2 linked regions of the Caenorhabditis elegans genome follow. The protein of the gene in region 1 purifies or fractionates together with the protein of each later gene. This does not show direct contact. Each region holds a gene or a part of one and is shown on either strand. Other genes may lie near its edges.

Evidence for each region.
Region 2: the proteins of ima-2 (region 1) and rop-1 fractionate together in Caenorhabditis elegans (co-fractionation; one large-scale study listed by BioGRID). This does not show direct contact.

Annotation. Positions count from the first base shown.
Region 1 is NC_003279.8:6,313,169-6,317,767, reverse strand, and holds ima-2 (Importin subunit alpha-2), read right to left. Parts: upstream 2,536-4,599; 5' UTR 2,522-2,535; coding exon 2,426-2,521; intron 2,332-2,425; coding exon 1,996-2,331; intron 1,953-1,995; coding exon 1,572-1,952; intron 1,528-1,571; coding exon 950-1,527; intron 904-949; coding exon 699-903; 3' UTR 501-698; downstream 1-500. Other genes in the region: hrpk-1 (Heterogeneous nuclear ribonucleoprotein K homolog), read right to left, coding at 4-51; srg-14 (Serpentine receptor class gamma-14), read right to left, coding at 3,176-3,388, 3,431-3,604, 4,081-4,443. UniProt on the Caenorhabditis elegans protein: Nuclear transport receptor that mediates nuclear import of proteins, and which is involved in sister chromatid cohesion. Binds specifically and directly to substrates containing either a simple or bipartite nuclear localization signals (NLS) motif.
Region 2 is NC_003283.11:10,252,250-10,257,020, forward strand, and holds rop-1 (RNA-binding protein RO60), read right to left. Parts: upstream 2,807-4,771; 5' UTR 2,799-2,806; coding exon 2,728-2,798; intron 2,682-2,727; coding exon 1,767-2,681; intron 1,669-1,766; coding exon 1,020-1,668; intron 964-1,019; coding exon 667-963; 3' UTR 589-666; downstream 1-588. Other genes in the region: Serine/threonine-protein kinase akt-1, read left to right, coding at 23-202; nhr-232 (Nuclear Hormone Receptor family), read left to right, coding at 4,111-4,220, 4,300-4,433, 4,475-4,771. UniProt on the Caenorhabditis elegans protein: RNA-binding protein that binds to misfolded non-coding RNAs, pre-5S rRNA, and several small cytoplasmic RNA molecules known as Y RNAs.

The DNA.
Region 1 (4,599 bases):
TACCTTCGGACTGTCTGTTCCATTAATAGCGGCTCCCACTTTGATCATCATTTTGAGTTTGGATGTACTGCAATTAATGTGTGATTTAACGAATTATATTGAATTTTAATTATTGGAAAAAGCTGAGAAATTTGAAGTAACCGAGAAATAGCTGTGAAGAAGTTTAAAAAACTTTTTTAGGACTATGAGCCGGATCTTGTCAAGTTTTGTTATCCTAACCAAACATTATTGTGACAAATGCTTCAAGTGGAAATTATTTTTCAAATTTCGTGATAAAATCATTAAAATTAACGACAAAAGGCATCATTTCAGTTCAGCCGGAAGAAAAGAAAAAACAAGGGATATTGAGTCCAGATTAAAGGCGCAGACAATTTTCAGATGGGTCCCGCGACGAACACATAGACAAAAACGCGGATGTTCAAATTAGCGAGTGAACAGTTCAACAAAGAAACATGAATGCGTATTGAAAAATACGCGCATCGTTTTCCCGGTTATAAAAATCATATGTTCCACTTTCTTTTCATTCTAAACAAATTGTCAATTTAAAGTGAAGAGATCAGTTAAAACGGGGTCAAATATAAATACGGGTAATACACACAGATGAGGGTAATTCTAAAAAAAACAATCCAATGTTAAATGTGAGAAAGAAGAATGTTACTATGAAATGACTACTAGAATGATGATAAGTGTGAAATAATTTAGAAACTCCATTTGTTATCTTGTGGATCGGCATTCTCATGAGACTCCTTCTCTCCAGCATCATCGTCGGTGAAGAATTGAGTGATGATGCGGTAAGCCTGAGTATAGATCTGCTCCGATTGACTTTCCTGGAGGCGCTCCAAACTGTCAAGTCCACCATTCTCTTCGACTTGGTCGTGAAGAATGTCCACTTTGTGAGGGTAACTGGAATCACATTTTTGAGAGTGCTAATTATCTAATAAAAACATACCCATTCTGAACAGTGAGCATAAGAGTATACAGAGTCTCCAAAGTATTATTCAGCATATCAGTGTTAGTTTGAAGAAGGGCTTGGCACAAAGCAGGCACTACATTGTCTTCAAGCATGGCGACAACTTGACGATTTGTTCCCCCTTGAGCCAAATTAGAAAGAGCCCAAGAAGCCTCGAACTGGCACTTGTGATCTCCCGACTTCAGAACATTGATGAGAACTGGGAGAAGATTTGCGTCGAGGACAGCTTGAATCTGCTTCTGAGTTCCAGCAATAATGTTGGACACCAACCAGCAGCACTCCTTCACAATGCTTGATGATCGCGTCTTTTCCATCAATGGAAGAATTTCATCGAGTGATCCCAAGTCGATAACCGCCTGTGTCAGCGAGTCATTTCCAGTTGCAACATTACCAAGAGTTCGGAGAGCCGGAGCAACAAGGTTTTCAGCTTCTTTGAAGAAAGCGACGACGTGAGGAAGCACACCACTTTCTCGTGCCAATTCGATTTGCTCATCTGGTCCATCAGTCAAATAAGAAACAGCCCAGCATGCGTCTTGACGGACTTGACGGTCCGTGTGCTAAAGTGAAGACGTTAATTGCGATCGAACATTTTGACAATTACCTGAACAAGTTTGACAAGACCTTTCGACAGAACACGAAGAACTTCTAATGGGGCATGTGGATTCTTATGACGGCACATGTTGGAGAATGCCCATGCAATGGTACGAACATGCGAATCTCCCAGTTGATCGACTTTCTCCATCAAATGCATCAACGCCTCCACTCCATGGCATTTAATAACATAATCACGAAGTTGAGATGAGTCTCCAGCAATGTTAGCGACTGCCCACAAAGCTTGCTCCGAGATCTGCGCACTCTGATGAACTGAAAGATGGATCAGTGGAATTGTTACTCCGGCTTCAACAGCTGCAATTGTTTGCTCGGTGGAACCGGAAACGATATTGGTAAGAGCCCAAGCTGCTTCATATTGAACACGCTCGTTCTGAAAATTGGAAATTATTGAATGGAAATAAAGATCGACCTACCTCAACGCTCAATGCCTGAACCAAAGCCTGAAGCAAACCGCAGTGAATGACTTCATCAATAGGTGGATTCTTCGTCTTTGATAGTGATTTTCTCAACGACTCGAAGCATCGAACCATATCATCTTCCGATGGATTGTTGGAGAGAATAGCTCTAATCTCATCATTTGACAAACGGGTTGATGATTGCTGATGAGATATCTTCTCTGGCTCCTCGAGCTCCGATTCCGAATTGCCACCTTCATCGACGTCGACGATGTTACGGCGTTTCATCATCATGTCCGCTCCTTTTTGCTTTCGAATTTCAACACTGCATTCAGTACGACGACGACGGAGCTCCTGAACAGAACAAATAAATAAATCTCGCAATTACTTTAAATAAGTCGGATAGTAACATTTTTGCATGAAATCTGTTATCAATAATTTAACATACTTCATGCTTGGTGAGATTCTTGTACTGTTGAAGGCGGCCTCCCTCATCCTTTCCCTCTTCGGCATTGTGAGACAGGCTGGTTTCGGTGAGAGTCATAGTTAAGCTTCAATCTGGAAGAACTTATGTGAATATTAAACAAAAATAACACTATTAGAAAAAAGTAGGAGTTTCTGATTCGAAAAAGTTCGGAATAAATCACCTCCATACTTTTTAATAATAAATTTCGCAACGAGATAAATGGGAACTAGTTAAACAGAACTAAAATTTCATGAGAATATTACAAATTCAGTTGAAAAGAATGAGTGGTGAAACTATTTAAGAAAGAAAAGGAGGAAACATTGGGCGATGAAAGCAGAAATGAGCGCCGCGGCCCAAAATTGTTATCAAAAAGTGTAACCTTCGCGCCGAAATTCGAAATGTTGAAGCGAATAAGGCGCCAATAAAGAGCGTTGGCGCCAAACTGATTTTTGGCGGTAACTTAAAATCGAATTGTTTGCTTTTAAAAAATCGCATTAATGCGTATTCATGGAATGTTTTTGAGGAAAAGATTTATACTTCCGAAAATATATAGATTTTCTAGCCCTACAAAAATGAAAAATGCAGAAAACACAAACTCCAATATAAATACCACGATATATCTAACCTTAATTGTACAGTAATCTACCGTAGTTCTAAAAACGGTGCAGCATGCATTTCAACATGATTGAATAAAACATACTGTTGAATAAACAATACTTTATTCGAAAAAGTTCAACGAGCAATCACCATTCCGGAAGTTCTAGTTAACATTTTTGACAGTGTCTGATTTTTTCGTTTACTTTTAAAAATGTGAGTTCGAAGATTTCTGCTAACACATATCATTACAATTGGAGAACCAACAGTTAAAAAGTCTAGAGCTAAAAAGCTAAATCCATAAACGGGGCTTGATGCATCAGTGTATGAGAAGAAAAAGCTGTAGTATATCTGAATGTTCTAGATATTTTTTAAAATTCAGAAGTTAATAACCTGAAATAAAACTTTAAAAGTGAACCCAATGGATATGATAACCGTTGCATTAGAGATTGCTTTTTCTATTTCTTTTGATCTTTCTGGAAGTTTTAACAAAGTAATTGCAGTGCATATAAATGTAAATGATAATGCAATAATAATAAAAACAAGTTGAAAACGAGATTGGCTTGCCTGAAACAATAAATATTAAATATAATGTACATATTTAATGTGCTCCCAGCCTCAGTTCTTGTCACGAACAAGTGTGTTGGGTTACTGTACCCGCTTATCTTCTCGTTTTCCCAGAACTTTTCAATATTTCAGAATTAAAAAACGCATAATTCTAGAAATATGATCAACACAAAAAGAGAGAATGACAAATAGAAAGATTGATGATCTATCATTGTTGCGGGTACGGTAGCTGAAAAATTTTACTCGTCTCGGGATCCGAGACTGTTGAACAAAAAGTTCAGTCGAAAGTGTAGTTTTTCGCATGTGAGGTAATATGTCTAATTTGGTATAATCTGGAATCCTTAAAGTCACACTCATTTATTTTGTAAGGGTCTCTCCAGTTCATCTTTTATTTTTCTGTATGTGGTTCATTAAAACAGTTTCTTCAGTTTCTTTTAGTTTTAAAACAAAAAAGAAATGGAAACAGATGAACTTACCCAGCTAACTTTCTTGAAATAGCTAACCCAGAAACCTCCATACGTGGATTGCATGTAAACTCGAGATATAGCAATATTCCAGTCAGCACAAAATGGAATTAAAAAAACTGCACTAATCACATATTTCAAGCTTTTTCTCCATATTGAATCGTGCGTTATTGGAAACAGGACACACGTCATTCGATTTAAAACTAACAAAACTTGTAAAAGGGATTTACAAATTGATACATGATGAGTTAATAACATTATAATCTTAAACCCAACAAGCGGAGATTGAAAGTAATCAGCGAGAACAGGGCATATTGGTGTAAAGTAAATAAAGAAACGAGCAAATAAACCTTCTGTTATAAGAATTGATATGTTCTGAAGAAAGTACGGTGCCCATTTGAAACCTAATGAAACAACAGATTCAAACAGAAAGGTCTTACAGCGAAATAAATTTATAGTAGCACTTGTGACTTTTTCGTTTATACTTTTTCAATTCAAATTAAAATTCTGATACTCACCAGAAAATCAAGT
Region 2 (4,771 bases), on another chromosome or scaffold:
AGAAACAAAGATTTTATTTTAGGAATTCACATCTCAACCAGTTCAACTGACACCGCCTAGTAGAAGCGGAGCCCTTGCTACAGTCGATGAGCAAGAAGAAATGCAATCAAACTTCACACAATTCTCATTCCACAATGTTATGGGAAGTATCAATCGAATTCATGAAGCAAGTGAAGACAACGAAGATTATGATATGGGATAATTTGACACCACAATGGCTTGAATTTAATTAATTGCGATTTTAGCCTGTTTTGCAGACTGTAGAAAACTGACCCCTTTGTCTGACATTCAGATATCCTTTTTTAAACAAATATTTAGTCGTTACAGTGACTATATTTTGATCTATTCTCAGTAAATATCGAATTAAAATGAGAAATCTCTTTGTTTTCATCTCTTCCTGTTCTGCCTCCTTCCCTTTGTATACTATCCTTTTTATTCACCTGAGACCGTAGTTCTTTCCATTTCAAAATTCCATCATCGTTTTGTAATATTACTCACAAGCTACGGTTGTGAAAACCAAATAGCGCCATCATTCGTGGATGTACTATGTTCCTATATCATATCCAACAATCCAAATGAAAGAATTTTATCCTCGTATTTTTATTATGGAATGACAAAATATGAACAAAGAAACATGCGAAATAAATAACAGATCAGTACTATAAATTAGATCTTTCCAGTAACAAACTCGTGAACAATCTGTGGTACAGCCGAATCGAATCCGGTAATGTCGAGCATACCAGCATCAGATGGATCGGCAATCGAGTAGTCATATGCCTGCATTGCCATCACAATGACCTTCGCGTCATGAATACCAGAAGCTTCACGATACTTTTTGATGGCTTCGAATGGATGAATCTCTCCAGCCCAGGTATCGTTGTCGGTGTAGATAATGAAGACATCAAACTTGAGATTATTTTCTGTTGCCCAAGTCATTGGAAGGCCACAATCTGTTCTGCCGAACTGAAAATTCAATAATTTAATATTAAATTCAATATTAAAATCATTATGAAACTTACATCAAGGTTGTTAACGTAGTCATTAACTTGTCCGATCTTCCAATCCTTAGTAAACGGAAGCTCAGTGAGCTTATCACAGAAGGCGACACATCTAACTTCGGCTTCATTGTGAAGGTTGATCAAAGACATTCCGGTAGCAGCTTCACGGCATGAGAGTGGTGACGAACTGACACGAGAGGTCATGCTACCAGAAACATCGAGAGCCAAGCAGTATCGTTTTCCAGTTGGTGGTGCATTCACGAATGCCTTGTAGAAGCCAGCTTCAAGGGCGTCACAAATCTTTTGATTTGGCTCCCAAGTGAGACTTCCCTTGTCACCACGACCTTGAGCATAGACAGCACGGGCAGTCAGAAGATTTATTGGATGAATTCGAGAACGACGCAGCTCCTCTTGATCAGTGAGACGTTTCACGATATTGTCAACTCTCTTCTCATCAAGGGCGCCCACAACGGTCATTTTTGCAAGATTTCTAATCATAGCAGTCATTGGCATTGAAACATCGAAAAGTGTTTCCCATACAAGTTTTGAATTGAGACTTGTAGTTGGCAGATGCTCACGGACAAGTCCATGTTTCTTGATAGCTGCTACGATGACTTCCTCGCTTTGTTCGTTTTTGAGCTTGAGGTACGCTTCCACGAGGTTGAGAGCTCTGAAAATGTTTCTTTGATATTAATTTTTAATTGAAAAATAAATTATAACTATATACTCAAGAATAAAATTAAAACCGAGAATGGTCAAAAATCGGACCTGCTCTGTTCTTCCTTAATTAATTGTTCCTCGGTGTACGGAAGCTTCAACGCTTTCTTATCCCAGACCTTCTCAACTTCAGCAACTTCCTCGACAGACATCTTTCTCTTTCTTTTCACTAAATCTCCCTTGACCGCAAATCGGAACAATTGCTCTCTTTCAAGACGATCTTCGCTTTGGCCATGAGAACGGCTATCCATAAGATTGGGATGAGCAAGTCGGAAAAGATCGCGATGAGACCATCCCTCACGTTGTGGGTATTTTGTGAGCAACATTGCCAACTTTTCAGTTGTCTTTGTGGTATACCATTTGCTGATGGCGTTTCTCATTGAACGACCCCATCCAGTTGAAGATTTAGCACCTCCTGCTTTAGTACTTTCAGAGATTGTTTGACAATAATCAACGAATTCGAAGAGATGGGTTGGTGTACGGCAAACCTCCGGAATAAGATCGAGCGCTGAATCATGAAGAGCTCGGATATAATCTGAGTAGGCATTGAGCATTGGACATTCAGTTTTCTTCGTTGTGTCATGAGTAGAGATTCGAGCACAAATTGCCAATGTGAAGATCATTGCGTTCATCTTTGGATTACGGTTTTCAGCATTGATCAATGCCAGCTCTTTCAAAACCATATGTCCGTTACCCTGCTCAATAATTTTGATGATTCTTTGAGCGTTGTCTATAGTGATCTTTTCAGACGACTGATGATAGCTTCCTTTGTCAGAACCGAGGATCAAGAAGCGACGAACTTGAGTTTCATCAGATACAGGAAAAACGAATCCTCCGGCGTTATTCTCCACTTGACCATCCTTGACTTTCTCCATTTGACGAGGAACTCTCTTGAGTTCACCATCGACAACAGTAATCTCAACATCAGATTCCAGCATTTGCATACGGCGAAGTCGGGCGCAGACGCTGGAAAAAAACGTTTCTATAGCGTTTCATTTTGATGAAAACTTACTTAGAGAGTCTCATCAATGCCTCCTCGTTAAAATTTCCAGCCTCTTGGAATTCATTCAACTCATCAGCCATGATTGGTTCTGAAATAAACAATATTACGAAATGTTTTCGAAGAAGACGAGAAAGGCGTTGAGAGTTTCAAAAATTGCTAACATGAGAGCGGAATAACTTGGCAACGAAAATCAAAAATTCACTGAAAAGGAATGTTTGTGGGAAAGAATGGAGTTGAAAATGTAAACGAGAACGTATTTGAGATACGACAGAGAGTATGAGGAAGTCAGAGAAAACGAGTGAAAGGAAAGCAAACGATTTTTATAGGGAAACTGATGGGTGGAGACAAAATTTGGAAATGTTTCGAAATGTTCAAGTGCTGTCAGTTATTACTTGAAATAAATAGCAATATTTTGAAAGTTTTTGAAATACTAAACATTGTGAACATTACATACGTGTGTTTTTTTTTTAAATTAAACATTTATTCGCTTAAATTTGATAATTTAAATGTTTTCTGTTATGTTCAGAGGCAATAATTGAAAAATTAAAATTAATAAAACATTTGAACAATTTATTCAAACGTGGGGCTTTATAATTATGAATGTTTCTACAAAAAGTACGCGAAGAATATCAAAAAAAATTAAATTAAAATTTTAATTAATAAAAAAAATTAATTTTAATTAGGAGTAGGTTTTTCTGTGAGTTGGCGTACGCTCACGTGCAAATGAACTGTTTTGCACACAGTAACTACTAAATTCAATACTGTATACAGATATATCTAGATACTGTATACAATACAATGAGTTTAGCGGATTACATGTAATGATTAATTTGAGTTGATGAAAACTTTCCAGCTCGCGAATGCGAAAAATAATTTAATAATTATGAAAAATTGTATTCTGCAGAAGGGTTCTGTTATACAAAGGATGCACTTTCTGAGAAAGACCTGGCGCAAGCTTTGCATTTGGCATAACACTAGAAAATTAAATTACCAGTATTCCAATTAAAAAAAGTTATTTCATATGCACCTATTCAACAATAGCAATTATTTTGGGACACCAGAGAAAAATCGTCATCTACATTTTTACATACGAAGGTTAGATTCAAATATTTCATATTCGAACCAATTTTTTTTTGGGTAAACTGTCGTCTGCCAAGTTCCACTTGTCTCCGACTTTTCGAACTTTTAAATGTATTTACAGAAAACACATTGACCCATCTCACAAGACAAACATTCGATTTCTTTGCTCTGTCACACCGATCACAATATTGATCAAAGGAGCATGTCATGGTATCTTATCAAAATTGGGACAATCGTCATATCAATTGAAGAAAGAGCACAAGACACATAGTCTGTTAGTCTCTCACTGACCTCTTTTTTATTCGATTTAATATGCTCCAAGAGCCCACTTCTTCTACTTTGACATGCAAAATTTGTTGTGAACCAGCTCATGGTGTTCATTTTGGGGTTGCTTCTTGTCGAGCATGTGCAGCATTTTTTCGGTTTGTTTTAAATATAGAATTGGAATTTAAATATGAAAAATCCGTATAATCAAAATTTCAGTATTAACCTATATTTCAGAAGAACAACCGTACTTGGAAAGAAGTATACATGCCGTCAGAAAAATGAAAAATGTACAACAAACAACGAAGATAGATTTAACTGCAGATATTGCCGTTACCAAAAGTGTCTCTCAAATGGAATGACACCTGAAAGTACAGGTTCTTCACATTTCAAAAACTAAAATATTTTCCAGATGTCAAATATAATTATGATGCAGCTGTTCATTACAACAAGAAACCATCTCCTAAAATGAAAATCGATGCTCACGAGCCACCATCCGACCCAAGTTCTCCGGTGAATTCAGATCATAAAATATGTGTTCCTCAGACGAAGGATGTTACTTATGAAGTTCAAACTGATGAAAAAGGAGAGCCAATTGTCAAATTAGACATCACTGGACTTCTTAATAATATTACATCCGTTTTCGACGATTTCGTACCTTCCGAGGAAATTCGAAATTTGAATACTTTGCAAAGAATGAATCACGCTT